Oryzias latipes: one gene and its partners. The protein of the gene in region 3 purifies or fractionates together with the protein of the main gene of each other region. This does not show direct contact. Links are inferred from orthologs where the notes say so. Each region holds a gene or a part of one and is shown on either strand. Other genes may lie near its edges.

Evidence for each region.
Region 1: the proteins of pabpc4 (region 3) and paip1 purify together in Homo sapiens (co-immunoprecipitation; 3 studies listed by BioGRID and IntAct, with this or other methods). This does not show direct contact. The link is inferred for Oryzias latipes from reciprocal best matches to the Homo sapiens genes PABPC4 and PAIP1.
Region 2: the proteins of pabpc4 (region 3) and g3bp1 purify together in Homo sapiens (affinity purification with mass spectrometry; 4 studies listed by BioGRID and IntAct, with this or other methods). This does not show direct contact. The link is inferred for Oryzias latipes from reciprocal best matches to the Homo sapiens genes PABPC4 and G3BP1.

The regions. Positions count from the first base shown.
Region 1 is NC_019867.2:5,797,740-5,804,048, forward strand, and holds the end of paip1 (polyadenylate-binding protein-interacting protein 1), read right to left. Parts: intron 6,111-6,309; coding exon 5,959-6,110; intron 5,847-5,958; coding exon 5,649-5,846; intron 5,512-5,648; coding exon 5,399-5,511; intron 5,117-5,398; coding exon 5,005-5,116; intron 4,573-5,004; coding exon 4,447-4,572; intron 4,369-4,446; coding exon 4,262-4,368; intron 3,914-4,261; coding exon 3,796-3,913; intron 3,691-3,795; coding exon 3,636-3,690; intron 2,802-3,635; coding exon 2,723-2,801; intron 2,149-2,722; coding exon 2,055-2,148; 3' UTR 1,235-2,054; downstream 1-1,234. UniProt on the Homo sapiens protein: Acts as a coactivator in the regulation of translation initiation of poly(A)-containing mRNAs. Its stimulatory activity on translation is mediated via its action on PABPC1. Competes with PAIP2 for binding to PABPC1.
Region 2 is NC_019868.2:28,989,886-28,995,667, forward strand, and holds the end of g3bp1 (ras GTPase-activating protein-binding protein 1), read left to right. Parts: intron 1-1,574; 5' UTR 1,575-1,596; coding exon 1,597-1,691; intron 1,692-1,778; coding exon 1,779-1,860; intron 1,861-1,950; coding exon 1,951-2,124; intron 2,125-2,198; coding exon 2,199-2,289; intron 2,290-2,372; coding exon 2,373-2,454; intron 2,455-2,538; coding exon 2,539-2,767; intron 2,768-2,841; coding exon 2,842-2,946; intron 2,947-3,016; coding exon 3,017-3,131; intron 3,132-3,308; coding exon 3,309-3,434; intron 3,435-3,503; coding exon 3,504-3,613; intron 3,614-3,694; coding exon 3,695-3,928; 3' UTR 3,929-4,548; downstream 4,549-5,782. UniProt on the Homo sapiens protein: Protein involved in various processes, such as stress granule formation and innate immunity. Plays an essential role in stress granule formation.
Region 3 is NC_019880.2:16,807,352-16,814,054, forward strand, and holds the start of pabpc4 (polyadenylate-binding protein 4), read right to left. Parts: upstream 4,507-6,703; 5' UTR 4,154-4,506; coding exon 3,961-4,153; intron 1,444-3,960; coding exon 1,250-1,443; intron 1-1,249.

The DNA of each region.
Region 1 (6,309 bases), on a different chromosome or scaffold from region 3:
GTCTTACCCCCCTTCCCCTCCTATTATCACCCTCTTACCCCCCCCTCTCTCTAACGTCCCTCTCTCTTCTTCCCCTCTTTCCTTTTCCGTCCGGTCCAACACCAAAGATTTTCAAACATGATTGAAATTAATAAAGTTTGGCCTCAATTACAAAAGGGGTTTATTCAGACATACCTTTGGTTTGTCTGAAGATGAATAACCCCTCTTGTTAAAATAAAATATGTCCAACACAAGAGGCCCTCAGCTCTCATCTGTTTGCCTAGCTGTTGGACAGGACAAGTTAAAAAAAAAAAAATACTGCATCTAGTGTGTGGTGGAAAAATGTGTTCAAGTGCCACACAGAGCCAAAATTTGGCACAGGAAAAAATGTAAATTGTAAGATTGTTAAAGATTTGCACTTTGCTGTTATGTAATGTAAAATAAGAAAATATAAGATTATTTATTCCCCTTTTGTGCTTCTTAGTAACCAAATAAAAAGGAAATTACAGATTTTCTTTTGTCTCTTCTTGTACCATCATCTTGGTTTTCTGTCCTGCCTCTGGCAGAAAATTCATCAGAAACAGTAGACATTCAGATGTTGATCACCACCTTGTGGCAGGACAGAGATAAATGTTTTCCATCCTTGTACAAGACTATCGTTCTGTTTAGTCAGTCTACATGCAGCTGTCTAGCAAACAATTTCATCCAAAGCGACTCCGAACCCTCAACCAACCGATGGGTGGATGTTTGCTCAACCCAGAAGCTGCAGCCGCTCTGCATCCACATCGTCTGAGCAGCTTCCATCTTTTTTGAATCATCGGTAAAAAGTCTTAGGATTAGATTCTATTAAAAATGAAGGGATTAGAGACAAAAAACTACTGACACACAAGCAGCCAGACTGAATTGATGCATTTCAGAATCAAACTTTCCCATTTTCTTGTCTTTTTTCTCTCTCACACGAGCCGTTTTCTATATTCCATTTTCTCTGATGTCTATTTATCTTCTTTTACTGCTACGGTAAACAAATTTCCCACATATGTGATCAATAATGTATTTCTGATTCTGATCGATTTACTATTAAAAGCTTTGATGAATACTTGGGCCAAAAATAGAGTGAGCGCACTGAGGAGGATGAACTATATTAACTATACTTTATTTTTTTATCACAACAAACATTTCTTGATTTTAACCAAAAGTACTTTATTTGGATTTTTTTTATTAAAGCCCACACACAGAAAAAAAAAAACAAGAAAGATATCACATTAAGAATTTATTGCAGGCAAATGATGCTATAAATAATATGTACAAACTATAAAACAACATTTGCTGATTTCAGATCCTTTGTTTGCCGGTGAACAGTCTGAGTCTTGGAGAAGAACGATGAAAGCGCTGCGGAGTCCTAAACCTCGCCTTCAAGTTGGAAGGAGTTAGTTTATTGGAGATGTTGAAGAAGAAAGAAATACTGCTTTTAAAAATATTAACTTTTCAGTTTGGAACTGGTCATTAATTGTAGAAATCAATTAAAATGTTTTACCTAAAGAAGAGATAACAAAAAAAAAGAATTGAAAAGTTTTAACTTTCTACTTCAGAATAAAAATTCAAATATTTGACAAAACATCTCCAACTGCACAACTTTTAGCAGAAATATTTAGCTTTTTGTTCTTGTTGTAAAGGCTAGTGTAATGAATATGGGGAGAACAAAATCTATGAAAATAGCTTTAGAAATATGGTTTGAGCCTGAGTAATGACATGTTTAACTCAACTAGAAAGCCTTTCAGAGGAATAACTGAAATCCACTGCACATCATGTCCTCCATGCTTTCTGATTAGGCCTAATAGTTAGAAACGAAACTCAAAGCAACAAAGAGAAAACTGTCAGGATGGAACAAGAGGAAGCCGTCCAACTGATTGTCCCACTTTCTAATGAACTCTAACTGAAGAAAGTGACAGAAGTGCAACTATAAACATTTCTTTAAGAGTTGTTTCCGGTAAAATAAGAGCCCGTCTGATGCAATGCTTGCTTTTCGACATGCCGAGAAGATGAGTGGGGGGGTTCCAGCCAGCAGCCGGACAGTCTCACAAGCGTTGCTGTCGTTTCCGCTCCGATTCTAAACAGAAACTCTCAAAAGCTTCTTCCATCTCTGGGCCCATCTCATCTTCAAAGTCATCTCTGTGGACACAAAAACCAGGAGATCGTTGCAAACTCTGATGTTTTCCTTCACTGCTTTTGGAATAACACTCTTTAAATGAGTGGGTTGGGATTGCAGACTGAAAGCCTGCAACCCCAAGTTAAGCCCTCATACACAGCCAACTGCTGACTAATCTGAATGTGAGCCCTGTTGCATTGTGGGGTGGCAACACATTTGCCAAGTCCAAAGGCTCACAGGTCGAGCGAGGGCTGTCATGTGACTGTCTGACTTTCACCACGCCATAAAACGGGCATGGTCGAGACTGACGGGAGGAAATCTCAGGTCACGGCCTCCAACAAACCTTCATTAAAAGCCTGAAATTTTCAAATGATGAATTTACTCGGGTCAAACGAATAAATAGGTTTGCTTTAAAAATGAAATATTGATCAATTCTGAGCTCACATTTGTCTCTGTTTGCCAACAAAACCTGAGACGATGGTTTTAATTCAGAAAGGAAAGTAGGATGAACCTGCATGTATTCATCTAAAGTGGGTCTCTGCAAACAGAATAGTGCAGATTTCATTTCCTTTTTTTCCATTTAAAGCTTGGACTTACCCTTCGTTTCCATTCTCCCCATCAAAGTCGTGAAAATAGTCTTGCCTCTCGAGGAGCTCCTGGTATTTTTCTGCATATTCTATGAAGGCAGAGAAAGAGTCAGCAGCAAACTTTACATGCAACCCCAAAACTAAACAGAAACAAACTACAAAAATATGAGAAGGGCCAGGCCAAAGGCATCTTGGGTAAAAAAAAAAAAGAAACATGGCTTTTGTTTTTCTCGCCTACATTTGTAATGTTCAACCTCAAAAGCTAAAAATGTCTCAAGACAATGACGATTAAACCCAAAACAAATACTCCGTTACCCATAATTCCTATCAAAATCTACCTATACCGAGCAGCTGAAATCCAAAATCCCTCCTGATGTTTGGTAAGGGCACATCAGTACCCGACACTTGCACAGACACAGACATTCATGATTTAAAGACACCCTGCAGCTCGATGGCAGAAAGTTTGGTGACAGAGCTTCATCATTCTGACACCCCCAAAAGAAAAAGGTCAGATATAAAAGTCCAGGTCACTACAGGCTTTGAGTAAAAGCTTTTCTTGTTTAATCTTCAATATCTTGGTTTCATAGTGAAATTTGGCAGCCCAAAAAAATGTAACTGATCCAAATAAGAACTGAACCAAACTTTCACTCCATAATAAAATATACGCAGAAACATTAATTTCTTATTTCCCAACCCGTGGATGATAAACTTTGCTAACTGTTGAAAAAAACAGGAACATATAAAGTACAACCACCACCAGTTTAAATCTAACATTATTTATGGTCATCTGTCCATTAAAAACAAAATGGATCACACAACTACATTTAGTTAAAAATCTATGAATCTAGTTTCTTCTGCGTTGAAATGTCAGGTTTCCATTTTGTGTCTCCTGTCTCAGTGGGGACATGTCCACCTGGACTCACCTGGATCTGCGGCTGTGAAAGGCGTCCCATCCTCTGTGTAGAATGTGGGTTCATTCTGAGCAGAAAAACAAAAGGCCGTGTTATAACAGACGTTCACATTCATGAACACAAAGTCAAAAACCAAACTAAGGTGAGTAGGTAGGGTGGGTGAGACACGGACCATGAAATAGTTGGGGTCGTTGTCTGGCGTGGCGTTACTGGCTGCAGCAGCAGCGTGGACACGCCCCCAGTTACTGGATCTAAGCTCTACAAGCTTCAGGAGCATCTCTCTCACATTCCTGAGGAGAAAGAAACTCTTCAAACCGAGAATCCTTTCAACGTGTCATTAAATCAACAGATTCTTTATGAAGCCATTTAAAGTACAAAACAAAACTCTAGTACTTTTTTTCCTGTTAAACCTTTATTTATCCAGGTGGGTTGATTGAGAACAATGTCTAATTTACAACAACGACATGTTCTTTGGAAAAATACGGAACTACGTAAGGAGTTAAAATAATGCTTCAATTTAAATAGACTTTCTGTGACACTTAGATAAAGAACACTGTTTCAACGTAATATAGGGATACACTTATCTAAACGTTTTAATAAAAAAAAAAATACAAAAAAAAGCCTCCTGCTCTACAGACCTGTCACATTTAGCATCAAGAAGAATTGTTTCTATTCTTTGGATCAGTTCTTCCATGTGCGGTTTTCCACTTTCCTTCCAGGCATCATCCAAGACAGAACCGGTCAGCTGTAAATAAAAACACTGATGTTTACTTCATGATGATAAAAATACCTTCACAAAATGCACAAACACAAATGTTAAGACCTTGAGCAGTTTGACAGCACAGATGAGATTTGAATTCACAGGATTGGAGAACAGACTGTGCAGCAGGTCATTGAGGCCAGAGAGCAGGATTTCAGCTCTTCTAGGAGGTCCTTTTGGATTTTTTATCTAGACAAAAAATAAAAAAAACAGAACCTAAATGACAGTAAAAAGGGAACGATTTCACTTTAAAAGGAGTGTTCAAGTGTTTGCAAATCACATAAGGGCAGGATTAGAGAGAAAAAAAGTTGACTAATTGTAGAAAAAAACAATCTTCAGTTAGTAAATGTGATATAGATTCATCAAATCTCCAATTCAATTTTCTTCTATTATTTGTTGTATTTCTATCAAGCAAAACAAAGAAAAACAAAAAGTATTTCTTGTTTATTTGTTATAGAAATGGTTTTGATATGTAAATCTGTTTATTTATAAACAAACAACTGGTTTAAACATGATAAAAGTTTGATCAAATTTGTTGCGTCATAAGTTGTATAGGATTGTTAACCAGTGAATCCACACTGAATCATTTTCTTCCAGAATGCACCGAGTTAACCTCCTTACCTCTAGATTTAAGTAGAGTTCACCCAGAAAAAGCACAAAGGAGTGAAATTTCTTCTGAGTGTCCGGGTCCCCTCGGACAGCTGCATCTCTTTGTTCATATTCTGTCCTGCACCTAAATCAAAACAGTTTGGATTCAATTATATTCTTAGTGAAAAGAGAAAGAGAAAGAAAATTCCCGTGACCCCGAATGGGAACAAAACGGGTTTAGACGATGACTGAATGAATGACAGAAAATCTATTTTAATGGAATCATGATGTCATCGATTTTAAGTTAAGCCTTATAGTTTAGCATTTTCGTTAAAAATTCTAAAATAAAATAAAATTCTCAATTGTATCTGTTGTAGAGGTTGTTTTTAAACTGCTCTTTGAGACGTATGTGACACACACATCTTACCGTTTTAGGAGCAGCTGACGAAAGTTGCCGCTCTGTGGGCTGATCGCCAGGTGATGGGACAAGTAGTTACAGAGCCTGGCTCCAGTATAGGAGAAGTTTGGAATGGCAGTAGACTGAAATAAACAAAATACGCTCAGACAAGACTGCATTGTCCTCGTGATAATGACGTGTGTGAGGTTCGTTTAAAAATTGGAGAGATGGGGAAAAAAAACAAAAAAACAAGACAGATCGAGGCCAGAATGTTTCCCACCTGTGTGTAAACCAGCTCCACCAGATCCTGCAGCAGCTCCTCAGTGGTAACACAGGAGTTGAACACTCCAGTTATGTACTCGATATCTGAGTCAAAGGATCCTGGAGAAGAGCTCAGGTGAGCGAGGAACTCTGTGACCATTTCAGCCAGTGGTGGCTCGCCGTAATAGTCCTCACTGTCGTTAGACAAACTGGGGTCCTACACCAAATTCACAAAAAAAAGGTCAGTTCCTGGCTCTTCCCAACTACAGAAATAATGACCAGCATCAATGTGAGATAAAGTAATCGTATCTGTTTCAATCTAGCCGTACCTCATGAGGGTTCAGTCCAAAGGGGACAAATTCTGGAGCACTAGCAGACAGGTTTGATGACTGGACCAAGAAATTGACATCATAATACTCTCTGGTATTCGCCAAGTTGTTGGCAGTCACATTTTGTTGGGTTTTGCTTTGGTTTTGAGAGTCTAAAAGAATATAGAAATGGAACTTACTCCTTTGCACAAACTAGACATGTCTTCATGCAAAAACACAAGAGAACATTACACAAGATAACATTGGTTACATTATTCTTCTAGTTATTTTTCTCTGTGTTACTTAATTTAAATGCTGTTCACTTTTCAGCTTATTTGTTTTTAAAGATGTCTACATGTTTTGGGGAGGATT
Region 2 (5,782 bases), on a different chromosome or scaffold from region 3:
CATCTTCTGATTGGCTGATCCCTCCTGATCCAGGATCATGGCCATGTGCAAAACATCAGGAATATCCTGGAAACCCGGAAGAACCCGTCACTGCCGGGGGGGTCAAACCCTGTAGAATCGTGAAAGCGCTTCCAGGTTCAAGTGGGGATGTATTAAACCCAAAGAACTGTTCAATTAGAGAATCCGGTTTCATCAGGGCAAGATGATCTAATCCACTTGCAGATGAACTCTGGTGTGGTTCACTTCAGTGTAAATGCAAACTGATCGTCCTCTGATTATGGAGAGGCAGGAAGGTTCACTTCTGGCTCAAACCCATTGAAGGAATTCCAGTCGCCTTCTTGTTGTCTTTTTGTGAAACGGACGGCGCCATGTTGGAGGCAGACGTAGAGTTGATCTGAATTGATCGGTGTTTCTATGGCAACCACTCTAAGTGTCAGACTCCAGGCCTCGTTGGCCTGTGTCCCACATGTCTTCCCATCAACTTGAAATTGAAGCTCCTTATTGGCTAAACACACCTGATTTCTGAAAAACCTGCTGGATAACGGCCCTTAAGGCCTGCAGTCTGACTCCAATCAGGAGTGAGCTTGTTGGAAGGCCACGCCCCCACCCATGAAAGCAGGCTTCTTTGGTTTGTGGTTTTGGGATCCCATTTGAAAGATCCTGGTCCATCCTCCATAACATGTAGAAATTCTGGTGACACTTTTCTTTTAGTGAGAAAATAACGACACATTTCTGCTATCTGGTACACATGTATTACATTTATAGGCTTTTTCTACAGAGGAGGATTTCTCTCTTTGGTGTTGAAATTTGCTGATTCAGACTGCGGCTGCTGGTTGCATGATGCTGGAGGATGGTCTCTAACCTCATTCCACATCAGACGGGGGGGGGGGGGGGGGGGGGCATTGTTACTGCACTCGTCCCCTTCCTGGGAAATCATGGCTAATGCTCGCGTAAACAAGAATAAATGCCTCATCTGCAATACTTAAACATTTTTCTTATTTTCTATTCAACGGTTGCCATGGCGTCCAAATACACAATCTGAAACATCTGGGGGGGGGTTTCCCCCTCGTGTTGTGGACCTGGAGCCGTTTCCTGGATCCGAAGTGACTTCAGAACCGTCGCTCACTCAGTCACAGGTTTCGGTTGGTGTGACATTGATCACTCTGGATGAACGTCAGCGATGAAATTCTTTTGTTCTGCTACCTTTGCTAATAAAGGTTTGTTTGAAATTCTCTACTACATTTGAGTGGGAAGCTCGTGTTGCACCTTTTTTCAGAAGTTTCCCCACATTTGGTTGATTAGGGTTTTGTAAGTTGTCGCCAGAGCAACAGAAACATTAGCTAAAGATGAGTCATTTTGCAGCAGTTGTTTAACTTTCCATTTCACGCTCGCTTTGTCCACCCAACGCTTGTTGCCCCCATGCTGCCGTTGGTTCTTGTGGGCGTGGCAGACATCAGCTGTGAACCATGAGATTCTTTTTAGAGGTTCATTGGTCGCTGGGGAGGGCTGTGGGGCTCCCCCCCGCCTGGATAACCACCGCAGCTCAGACGCTCCCTTCTGTTCTTTCTCTGCAGAGAATTCCAGCTGACCAAAGAAATGGTGATGGAGAAGCCAAGTGCCCAGCTGGTCGGGCGAGAGTTTGTCCGACAGTATTACACGCTCCTGAACCAGGCCCCTGACTACCTGCACAGGTGACGCCCCCGCCCGCGGTTTGACCACCAAGGCTTGTAGATGTGTTCGGGTGTCCTGACCGTCTGGCGCTTTCCCTCCGCCTTCAGGTTTTACGGGAAGAACTCGTCGTACGTGCATGGCGGTGTGGACGGCAATGGCAAACCGCTGGAGCCGGTTTATGGACAGTCGGTAAGACCGTTGAGGCATAGATCCCGTCTGTCTTTCATTCGCTTTCCTAAAATGGCTCATAAATGTCGCATTTTGCTCCAACTCCTGCAGGAGATCCACAAGAGGGTGATGGCGCTGAGTTTCCGGGACTGTCACACCAAAATACGGCACGTGGATGCGCACGCCACCCTGAACGAAGGGGTGGTGGTGCAGGTGATGGGGGAGCTCTCCAACAACCTGCAGCCCATGAGGAAGTTCATGCAGACCTTCGTACTGGCACCGGAGGTCGGTGCCACGGCAAAACTCGCGGCAGCATGTGTGTCCGTTCCCCAGCATTCACTCCCTCTGTGCTCCCACAGGGCACGGTCCCCAACAAGTTCTACGTCCACAACGACGTGTTCAGGTACCAGGACGAGGTGTTTGCCGACTCGGACTCCGAGGTTCCTGAAGGTCAGACGGCTTCTCTTATGTAGATCTGAGGATTTCTAATTTCAGTCAGGAAGTCTGAACGTTTCACACCACTGTCCTTACAGAGTCAGAAGATGAGGATCTGGAGAGGGCCCCCTCCCCCGATACCACAGAGGAGCCCGCCCCTTTCTACGACCCCACGGCCTGGTGCGTCGAAGCTTCGGGGTTTCCACCTGAAGTGGAACTCTAAGTCGGGTTTTCAAAGTGAGCGTTTCCCTTTCCTCTTGGCAGTTCTGAGCCCACCGCCCCCGGTGACGATGAGGAGGTGGGGGCCAGTCCAGAGCCGGAGGTGGAGAAGGACCTGGAGGCTCCTGAGGCGGAGACGGCCCACGACAGCCGGACAGAAACGCACTCTGACGACGAGCAGACGGAGAAGAGGCCGTCCACCCCCGCAGCGCCCACCACAGAACCGGTTTCGGCGCCGGCCGAGCCCGCTCCGAGCGCCCCGGAAGAAAACAGAGTACGTCTAAGAAAGCTGAACAGACGGAACGCGACCAGACCGCCACTCTAACGCCTTTCTCTGCTCGCCCACAGCCGTTCTCCTGGGCGTCTGTTACCAGTAAGAACCTCCCTCCCAGCGGCGCCATCGCCGTGTCCGGAATCAGCCCACATGTTGTCAAAGTGGCCCCCGCGGCTCCGGTAAGTCTGAGGTACTCCAGCAAAGTCCTGACGTAGAAAATGAAAACTAGATTCAGACCTCTGTTTGTAGGTGAGAACAGAAGTGAAGCCAGAGTCTCAGACGACGCAGAGACCACAGAGGGAGCAGAGGCCGCGAGAGCAGAGGCCCGGGGGCCCTCCCCCCACACACAGGGGGCCGCGACCAGGTACACGACCAGGCGTTCTGATTGGCTCACGATTAAACCCAGAGTGATCTGGATCAGAAGTGTCTGTTTGGAGTTATTCAGGTTCTCGTTGATCTGAGTTCTTCAAAAGTTCCTGTTTGTCAGAGACGGCACTCTAAAACCGATGGCGTTTTAGATTTGGTGGTTTCTCTGTTTCAGCTCGAGAAGGCGAACAGGGCGAGCCGGAGGGTCGCAGGATCGTCCGCTATCCTGACGCGCACCAGCTCTTCGTTGGAAACGTTCCCCATGACGTGGACAAAAACGAACTGAAGGAGTTCTTTGAGCGTGAGTAGGCGGAGCCTCTTCCACGTGAAAGCTGAAACCCCGTTTGACTGACGGATTCTGCTCCTGCAGAGTACGGGGCGGTTCTGGAGCTGAGGATCAACAGCGGAGGGAAGCTACCCAATTTTGGCTTCGTGGTGTTTGATGACTCTGAACCGGTTCAGAAGATCCTCAACAACAAGGTGAGTCCGAGTCCATCCGGCCCGGCGGTCGGGTTGTATCCAAACCAGAAGAACCGGTTCTGAGAAGTTCTGTTCTTTCAGCCCATCAAGTTCCGAGGAGACATCCGCCTGAACGTGGAGGAAAAGAAGACTCGCTCCGCCAGGGAGGGCGACCGGCGGGACTCCAGGCCCCGGGGCCCAGGCGGTCCCAGAGAGCGAGTTGGGGGCGGACCCAGAGGACCGCCCACTCGTGGGGGAATGTCCCAGAAGCCCAGCTTTGGCTCTGGGCGGGGGGCGGGCCCCAGCGAGAGCCGCTTCTCGGCTCCCCGTCAGTGAGCTTCAGTTTTCCGGCTGCAGACCTAACAGAAGCTGCAGCCGCATTTTTAACCATCCACTCACTCTGGCTCCCGCTGAACCCCCCCCGGCCCCCCGTGACATTTCTGGAAGGAGTGTTCAAAGGCTGCAGGAGTTGTTTGGGGGGTCTGCAGTGACCCCACCCCCTCCCATCCTATTGGTTCCTGCACTCAGACGGCGGTGCGTTCAGGAACCGGTTCTTTTCTCTTCAGTTTGACTTTACTTTTGGCGTTGAACTTGAATCTCACAAATGAAAAACCAACAAAAAGGCGTAAATATTACTTGAATTGGGGATGTAGAGACCCAGAGGCTTATTTTATTTTCCGAGTTCTCTCCCTGTTTCTTAAAGGAACGTGTACTTTTACTGCTTTGGGCAATCCTGTGTATTGCTGCCACCGTTGTTTCGAGCGATGGCCCCGCCCATCGTTTTTATCAGGTCACGAGCTGAACTGTAGTTTTCTTTGATGTCGATGTTGTAATCTACACAAACGTGTCTGAATGGATCAAACCTGTTCGCCTTTTTTTTACCAATGCACTTCATTTGTCATCATGTTTAAGCTCATGCCGACGAGAGAACTAAATTAAACCATTTACTGTTTTCACACCGACTGCTTCCTGTTTGGGGGACTGGGGTTCCGCGGGGTGGGGGTGGGGGCACCCTGGGGTTCTGGACCGTCAGTAGGGCTTTTATTCTGGTCTGAAGGTCCAGATGAATCTTTCTTACGGCACCGTTGAGCCTGAATTTGACCCCATCACCAACATTTACACCCACAAAAAGGAACTTTGTGGCCAAAAAAGATCCACTGACAAAACAAAGAATGGGGCGGGGACATCTGGAAAGAGTTCTGAAATGATGGGATTGCTCTAAGAAAATTTTAATCAGACAAAAAAATCAGTGATGAAAGTCTTCCGGGAATTCCCGGAAATCCGGGTTTTTGAGCAAACCGAACGTACTTTCCGGCAAATAAAGACCTGATCTCTACGGACAAATCGCTTTCCGGATTAAAAAATGGTCTGAAATCAGCTTGAATTTAGACGAAGGATTAATATTGCATTTCCAAAAATCTTCAAATACTGAAGAGCAGCAGAAAAAAAACGCAGATTCAAAAAGATATTTGATGTAGAAAATACTCTGGGTGGGGCTACACTATCCCAGCTCCACCCCTTTCTGATCATCCACCAGTCAAACAGATCCATGAACATCTTTGTTTTCCTGGTCTGAGCTGGAATCTGGATCAGACGATCAGAGCTGGAACTTTAAAATATTCATGGAATGAGGGCGGAGTCATGAGGGAGGGTGGGTTCACAACCACAAACATCTAAGAAACCATTAAAGAACAATTCTCTCCATGGCTTTCTGTTGTCCATGTTACACACCTTTTCACCACACAGCAACGTGACTGTCTCCCACTAGCCCTTGTGCTATCTTAGATGACCCCCCCTCCCATTGACATGTTCTCCCTACCATGACAAAGGTGGATAAAGGTGGAAAGATTTCATGTAATCCATGGACACCAGTGAAGATCACAAATCATTGAAGAAAAAAGGTTCAGAGCACTGTCTAGTGGGTCTAGATGACCCAACTCCCAATGTTAAAGTGCCTAGGATAACACAAGGGTTATAGAGAGACATAGTCACGTTGCTGTGTCGTGGACAGGTGTGTAATATGGACAACGGAACGCCAAGGAGAGAATTGTTCCAGGACGTTAGAAACACAATTATAGACAAACATGGTAAAGGTAAAGGCTATAAAACCATCTCTAAGCAGCTTGAAGTTCCTGTGACTACAGTGGCACATATTCAGAAGTTTAAGACCCACGGGACAGTAGCCAACCT
Region 3 (6,703 bases):
GTGGCTGTTTCGCAGATTTCTAATGCAATTTTGTACTTGTTTTTTCTTCTTTTTACAGCACATTGTGTTCTGCCTCCTGATTGGCTGTTAACATTGTCAATCAATCTCCTCCACATTGTGTCTTATGTACAGAATGTGTTTAGCTTGCTACAACTACACAAGTCTTTGCGAGCAGATGGCTGTTTTCATTCTATAACACTGGACTTATTTTTCTATGAAGGTTTGAACTTTTAATCTTAAACAAGAGAGAAAAGTGTGAAAATGTTAATGTCTCTCTGAGAAGTGTTCATAGTGTCTAGTGAGAAGTTTCACAGACTTAAAACATCTACGATTATTGTATAAAATAAAACTAACTACTTTGTGAATATCGTTGTTTGTGGATTATTTTTTAATGTCACGGTCATGATAAACGAGGGATGATGACAACAAGAAAAAGACGCTTTATAAACCACCCAGACAAATGTATAGGGATGTCTGCTGTGCAGCCTGGAAGGTGTCTCACACACACAATTTAGTTTTTGATCCAAAGAGGATATCTTTACCAGACATCAGTAAATGTTAAGACAAAAACATTTGTGGGGATGTTTTGTTTGCTTGTTGTCATACTATCATTTTGTTTACTCAACTGAGTAGACCGTTGGATTTGTAGTTTGTAACCCATAACTGAGGCTTAGATCCATGAGTACTGAAATTACTGTTCTGTGGATAAGACCGCTTCATTTTACTTTAGACCAGAAGTTAGCACAGATAACATTATAGTTGTGCGTAAAACGGACTAGAAATAATTGCCCGTCTTTTGTGCTGTTATCACATTTTCCCCAACGCCCATCGTGTAATGAAACAGATTGGTAAATTACAGACTGCCAGCTCAAAGTGGGTTAGGCTGCCAAATTAGCAATCAGGAAAGCCTTGGCTGAAATGCTGAAAGGGTTTAATCCAAACACTTGTGTTTGAAAGAAATAGGTTGGAAAGGAGCTAAAAGGATAAATATTAATCTGTTCACAATGAATTGATTATATTATTAAAATACTGCAGATGTTATAGCATTAGTATTTAAGACAGCCTTTAAAAACATTAGGGCACCATTTATATTACAGTACAAACCTCTACAAGATTTCTTTAAAAAATATAGTGGAGTGGTCAATATGAAGGTTTCATGTTTCTTGGGCTCTTAATGGGTTACAGACCATAACACATTGCAGCCAGGTTTTAAAATAATGTTATAGTAGGGGCAAAAAGTATTCTTTACCTTACAGGATAGGATATTGCCAAAAGCAGAGAAAGTGTCGTACAGGGCTTTGTTGTCGATGGACTTATCAAGGTTCTTGATAAATACATTGCCCACACCAGACTTCCTGAGGGAGGGGTCTCTTTGAGACCACATAATTCTGATTGGTTTCCCTTTCACCACGTCAAAGTTCATGGTGTCCAAGGCTCTCTCAGCTGTAGGCAGAAAGAAAGAAGACACGTTCATGTTTATATGGATCCAAAATTGTGAAAAAAATTCACAGGTACCAAGCTTATTTGGGTTGTTTGAGGATGATTAGAACACTTTGTCTCAAACCAGCTTGTACTCTTGTAGACATAAATACAAAAGCAGACAAGAAACAGGGTTAAGACGCTGCAGAAGACCATGTGGCTGCTGAGCTGTCTGCCAGCAACTCAGACGAGTCAGGGGCAGCTGCAAAGATCATAGCACATGTTTCTGACAAACCCCATGCTGCTGTGCCCCCTTAACTACCAATGCCACAGGCAAACATCCATTTCAACAGGTTTTAAAGAGTTTTTATTTATTTATTTTAGATTTGATGATCATTTTACAGTCTCTGCGTTTTTCTGCACTGTTAAGACACAAAATTATGAAATCTATACCTTTGTTTTACTATTGGTTAAACAGCCATGTCATTTTGGGTCCACGTGCCAAACATCCTTTTGTTCAGTCCCTCCACAGCGAGCCACACACACACACACACACTCACAGGCTAGGCTTTCCAGCTAAAAGTGTCTGGTAAACAAAACGGAGCTCCCTTGCGTCTGCTGGCATCAGCAGTTTGGCTTGCAGTTGTACTTCACCACCCGTGTGCTCAGAAAATTTGTGTAATTGTTGTTCAACACATGAACCTCTGAAAGGTTCAAAATGAAAATCTTGCTGTTTAAAAAAAAAAAAACACATTCAGAAATATCCAAGGGTGAAAATGTTAATGGTGTTGAATAACTAGTTATTGTTGCCATTTGTGTTTGTAGTATCACAGAGCAGGCATATTTTGGCCTGCTCAGAGTGAGGTTCTATATTTAGAAAAGGGTCCTGAGAGGTATGTGCTGGAGTATGGGTACACCATTCTTTGCTATTGATGGGGAAGACTTCCAACATGAGGATAAAACATAATATTTCAACAAAACAATGAAAAAGCTCAAAATATTCCTTCTCTACACTTTGAACTTTGCCCCACATTTACACCCTTCTACCGTGTCCACATCAACAGCAAAACAGTGGGGCATTTCACACCTGTCAGTTATGGTGTTGTAATCCATTACTTGGTATTTGGTCAACCGCCTTCATCAGAGACAGCTGCTCTCACAGGTGTTTTTGTTGATAAAACAGGAGAAACATTCACAGTGTGTAGACAGTATAACTAGGACCTTAGAAAGACCAATGCAACACACGCTACCGCTGCTAAGAGCGCCCCTATTTATTCCAAAGGCAACAAAGCAACAAAAACAAAAGCAATTTGCTTTGCACCAACTGTTGCATATGTTAAAGCTGTTTAGGTAACAATAGATACAAATAAGTTGTCTGTCCACCCACAAGGTCACTGTATAGTTATGTTGTCCACCTTTTGACATACCCCTTTCACCGAGTCGCACAGGTGGTTTGGCGGAGAATTTTATGCCGAATGCCCTTTTTCACACAACCGTGTATTATATCCAGGCTGAAGACTGGCACAGGGGGAACCAAACTTGGACCCTGTTGTGGCTACATGGTAGTGCGAAAGGTCTTTCCCAAGAACCCACAGTGGATGAAGCACGTGAGAAACAAACCCTAACCTCCCATGCGCTGGTCCTATACACAACCAACTGAGCTATCCAGCCATTTAGTTAAAACAGCAAAAAAAATAGGAGTACAAATCAACTCAGATCAATGTAAATAGGAATTCTTGATGGTTTTAGCATTCCTAGCAATGGATGACATCTAACTAGATAAAAAAGGAAAGTCAAAATATTTACTACTGAAAAATGTTTAAAAAAATAAATGTGTGAACTAGTTAAACAAGTTTTGGACAAGTCATCTAGTAGTAGACAAAAAAGCCAAACTATTTACCAAAAAGAGAAGAAAAAACTGTGGTGTTACGCATTAAGTAATAATACAACTTTGATTACATACTAGTTATTGGGTAAGACATATCAGTCAACCGCTAGTTTATTGGTACTACAGAACTAGTAGTCATTTTTTCTTGTACTAGTTGACTACTGTGGCCTAGTAGTAACCTTTGTGTGTCCCTAGTTGACTATGAATGCCCAAACTGATGCAATTAGCTTGAAGGTGTTCATTTTTAACATAATTATATCACTTGTTATTTTGACTCATGGGATCAGCAGCAGAGATTTTAAAAACAGCGTGTTCTCAACAATGATTTACTGCAGTAATGGCTTTCCATATAATTGATCAATAATTACAAACACAGACTTTAAAGCACATAATGGTTTCAAATGCATGAATTCCTTTAAAATACCAATAAAATGTAGTGAACTGAACTGCAGAGACTTTGCATCGCCATAGCATAGGTGGTGTGTGAAGAACTGGGAAGTGGATATAATAGGTATAATGAATGACTGTCTCAAATAAAGAAGACAGAATTCAATGGAAGCGCAAAGCTTTATAAAATTCATTTTCATTAGTCATGATGATCCCCACGTGGGTGAGCTCATCCCCCCCCCCCCCACCCCCCAGGGGTTCCTTACCGTCAGCGGGCTGGGAGAAGTTGACATAGGCGTATCCGAGGGACCGCCGGGTGATCATGTCTCTGCATACCCGAATGGAGAGCACCGGTCCGGCGGGGCTGAATTTCTCATACAGCATAGCCTCCGTGATGTCAGGGTGCAGGTCACCAACGTAGAGAGAAGCCATCGGATAACTCCCGGTCGCTGTGTTCATTTCCCAAACTTCCAAAAAGAAAAGAAAATCTGCCAAAGCCGAAAAAAACTGCAATCCGGTTTGAATGCGGGTCAAGACGCGCTCGGTGCGGACAGATCTCTGAGTGAGAAACCCAAAAAATGTACCAAAAAAAATCCTCCTTCGGTTAAACCCCGAGGCCTCTTGTTTATATTTTTAATTAATATTTTGCTATTTTTTTAAAAGTTTAAATTTCAATATTATTGTACTCGTTTTTATAATGTTTTATAGCTTTTATTGTTTTTATATTGTTTTTATTTTAAGTTTTTTTTTTCCCGATAACAGTGAGTTAAACACTCACGGTTGATTTGTGGCCGGGGAAAGAGAGTGTGTCGGGGAAGCGTGGGCACTTTATAGAGGGTAGCGGCGTGGACGAAACAGTGACCAGGGTCAAATTTAGGAGAGGGGGCGGAGGGGGGCGGGGGGCGAGCACGCGGCGTGTAAAAGAGAGAGCGCACTGTCCTGCCCCAACCACAGAGCTGCCCTCCCCACAGCGACACCTGCATGATAACTGAGGGGCAGGACACAGCTCCAAAGGAGAAAAAGCACTGGAAAAACTCAACAAAAAAGGGAAATAAGGTCTGTTTTTGGAATGTCAATCCTTTTGGGAAAAAATCTGGGAAAAGGGAATAAAAGCTCTTAAAGTATGGGTCCACATTCCACACATATGGTACATATATTTGAAAAATTAACCCTGTAGTAATCCTGTAATGTATTTAATGATGTCATGCAATTTGTTATTTTGTGCAATTAATTAACCCGCTATTAACTAATTAATCTATTTTTAATCACAATTATTCGTATCCTTTTAATTGCTGTGAAAAGCCTCATTATTGAGTATTTTCATTTAAATTTCTGAGATTGTATCGCATTAATAGATCAAAATACAACAAAAAAAGTGACTTTATAAAGTTTTGAAGCAGATTTCCAACCTTTACTTTTACACAAAGGGAATTTTCTTCTTGAAAAATAAAGAAAACAAAAACAAATGATTATGTCCAGAAGACTCTATTTAACACATCAAAAACAAGAACACTTTTCTGAGCAATCCAGAAAATATTGAACACAAACTTTTCATTGATACCATATTTGACGTACATTATTCCACAGTTTATACACTAGTAAGATGGTAAAAAAGACACAAGTGATTATATATTCTGTTTGGTGAATTGGATCATTTTGAAGACTGGAATCCAGTAGAAGAGAAATAGAGAACAGAACACTAGGAGGAAATGAAACACTGAGGTAACACCGGACGAACTGAACTATTTTGATTTTGGACTTTGTTTCTTTGAAACAAACTTTTGCTTTATCATCTGGTTAAAAACAAGCGCCAAGTGGTGAACTTTCCCTCCAAAATTATGCTTTGTTTAACTTCTCACAATGATCACTTTCCTCAGAGAGGAAAAAATATAACGGGACAAGTTCTACAAAAATTTTTTTTTCATAAATGACCTTGGTATAGGATAATGCTCTTTGAGTTGTGCATGTCATACATGAACAAACTTCACGGAAGCACTGACGCGAAAATGAGATTAAAAAATGTGCTCAAATGTTTCATTAAATGAACACAACTAACATGATAATTTACCTGCCCAACTGTGTCCTGTTCATGGACTTCAGCTCTGCGTTCAACACTATCCTCCCCTCTCTGCTTCAGGAAAAGCTCCAGCATAACGTGCCTGACTCCACCTGCAGGTGGATCACTGACTTCCTAATGGACTGGAGGCAGTGAGTGCGGCTGTGAAAGAATGTCTCCACCACCCAAACTATCTGCACAGGGCTGTGTACTTTCTCCTCTGCTTTTCTCTCTGTATACCAACTGCTGCACCTCCATCTTCTCTGTTAAACTGATGAAGTTTGCAGATGACACCACCCTCATCGGGCTCATCTCTAACGATGATGAGTCTGCCTACAGGAGGGAGGTGGACCGGCTGGTGCCGTGGTGCAGCATCAACAACCTGGAGCTCAACACCCAGAAGACAGTGGAGATGATCGTGGACTTCAGGAAAGTCACAACCTCCTCACCCCCTCTCACCCTGACAGACTCTCCTGTCACCATATAGTGGACTCTGTTCGTTTCCTCGGCACCACCATCACTCAGGACCTTAAGTGGGAGCCGTCCATCAACTCCCTGCTCAAAAAGGCCCAGCAGAGGATGTACTTCCTGCAGCAGTTAAATTCGGGGTGCCGACCCAGATGATGGTGCAGTTCTACACGGCCATCATAGAATCCATCCTCACCACCTCCATCACTGTGTGGTACACTGAAGCCACAACCAGGGAGATGGACTGCAGGGTATTGTGTGCTCAGCTGAGAAGGTGATTGGCTGCAGTCTTCCATCTCTCCAGGACCTATACGTCTCCAGAACCCGGGGGCGTGCAGGTCGGATAGCAGCCGATCCTTTTCACCCTGAACAGGAATTACTTTAACCACTCCCTTTGGGCAGGAGGCTAACCTCACCAGAACCTCACGAACAGTTTCCTACTCAAAACTTTAATTCCTCCCCCCTTAAACTTAAGTCCAGTTACC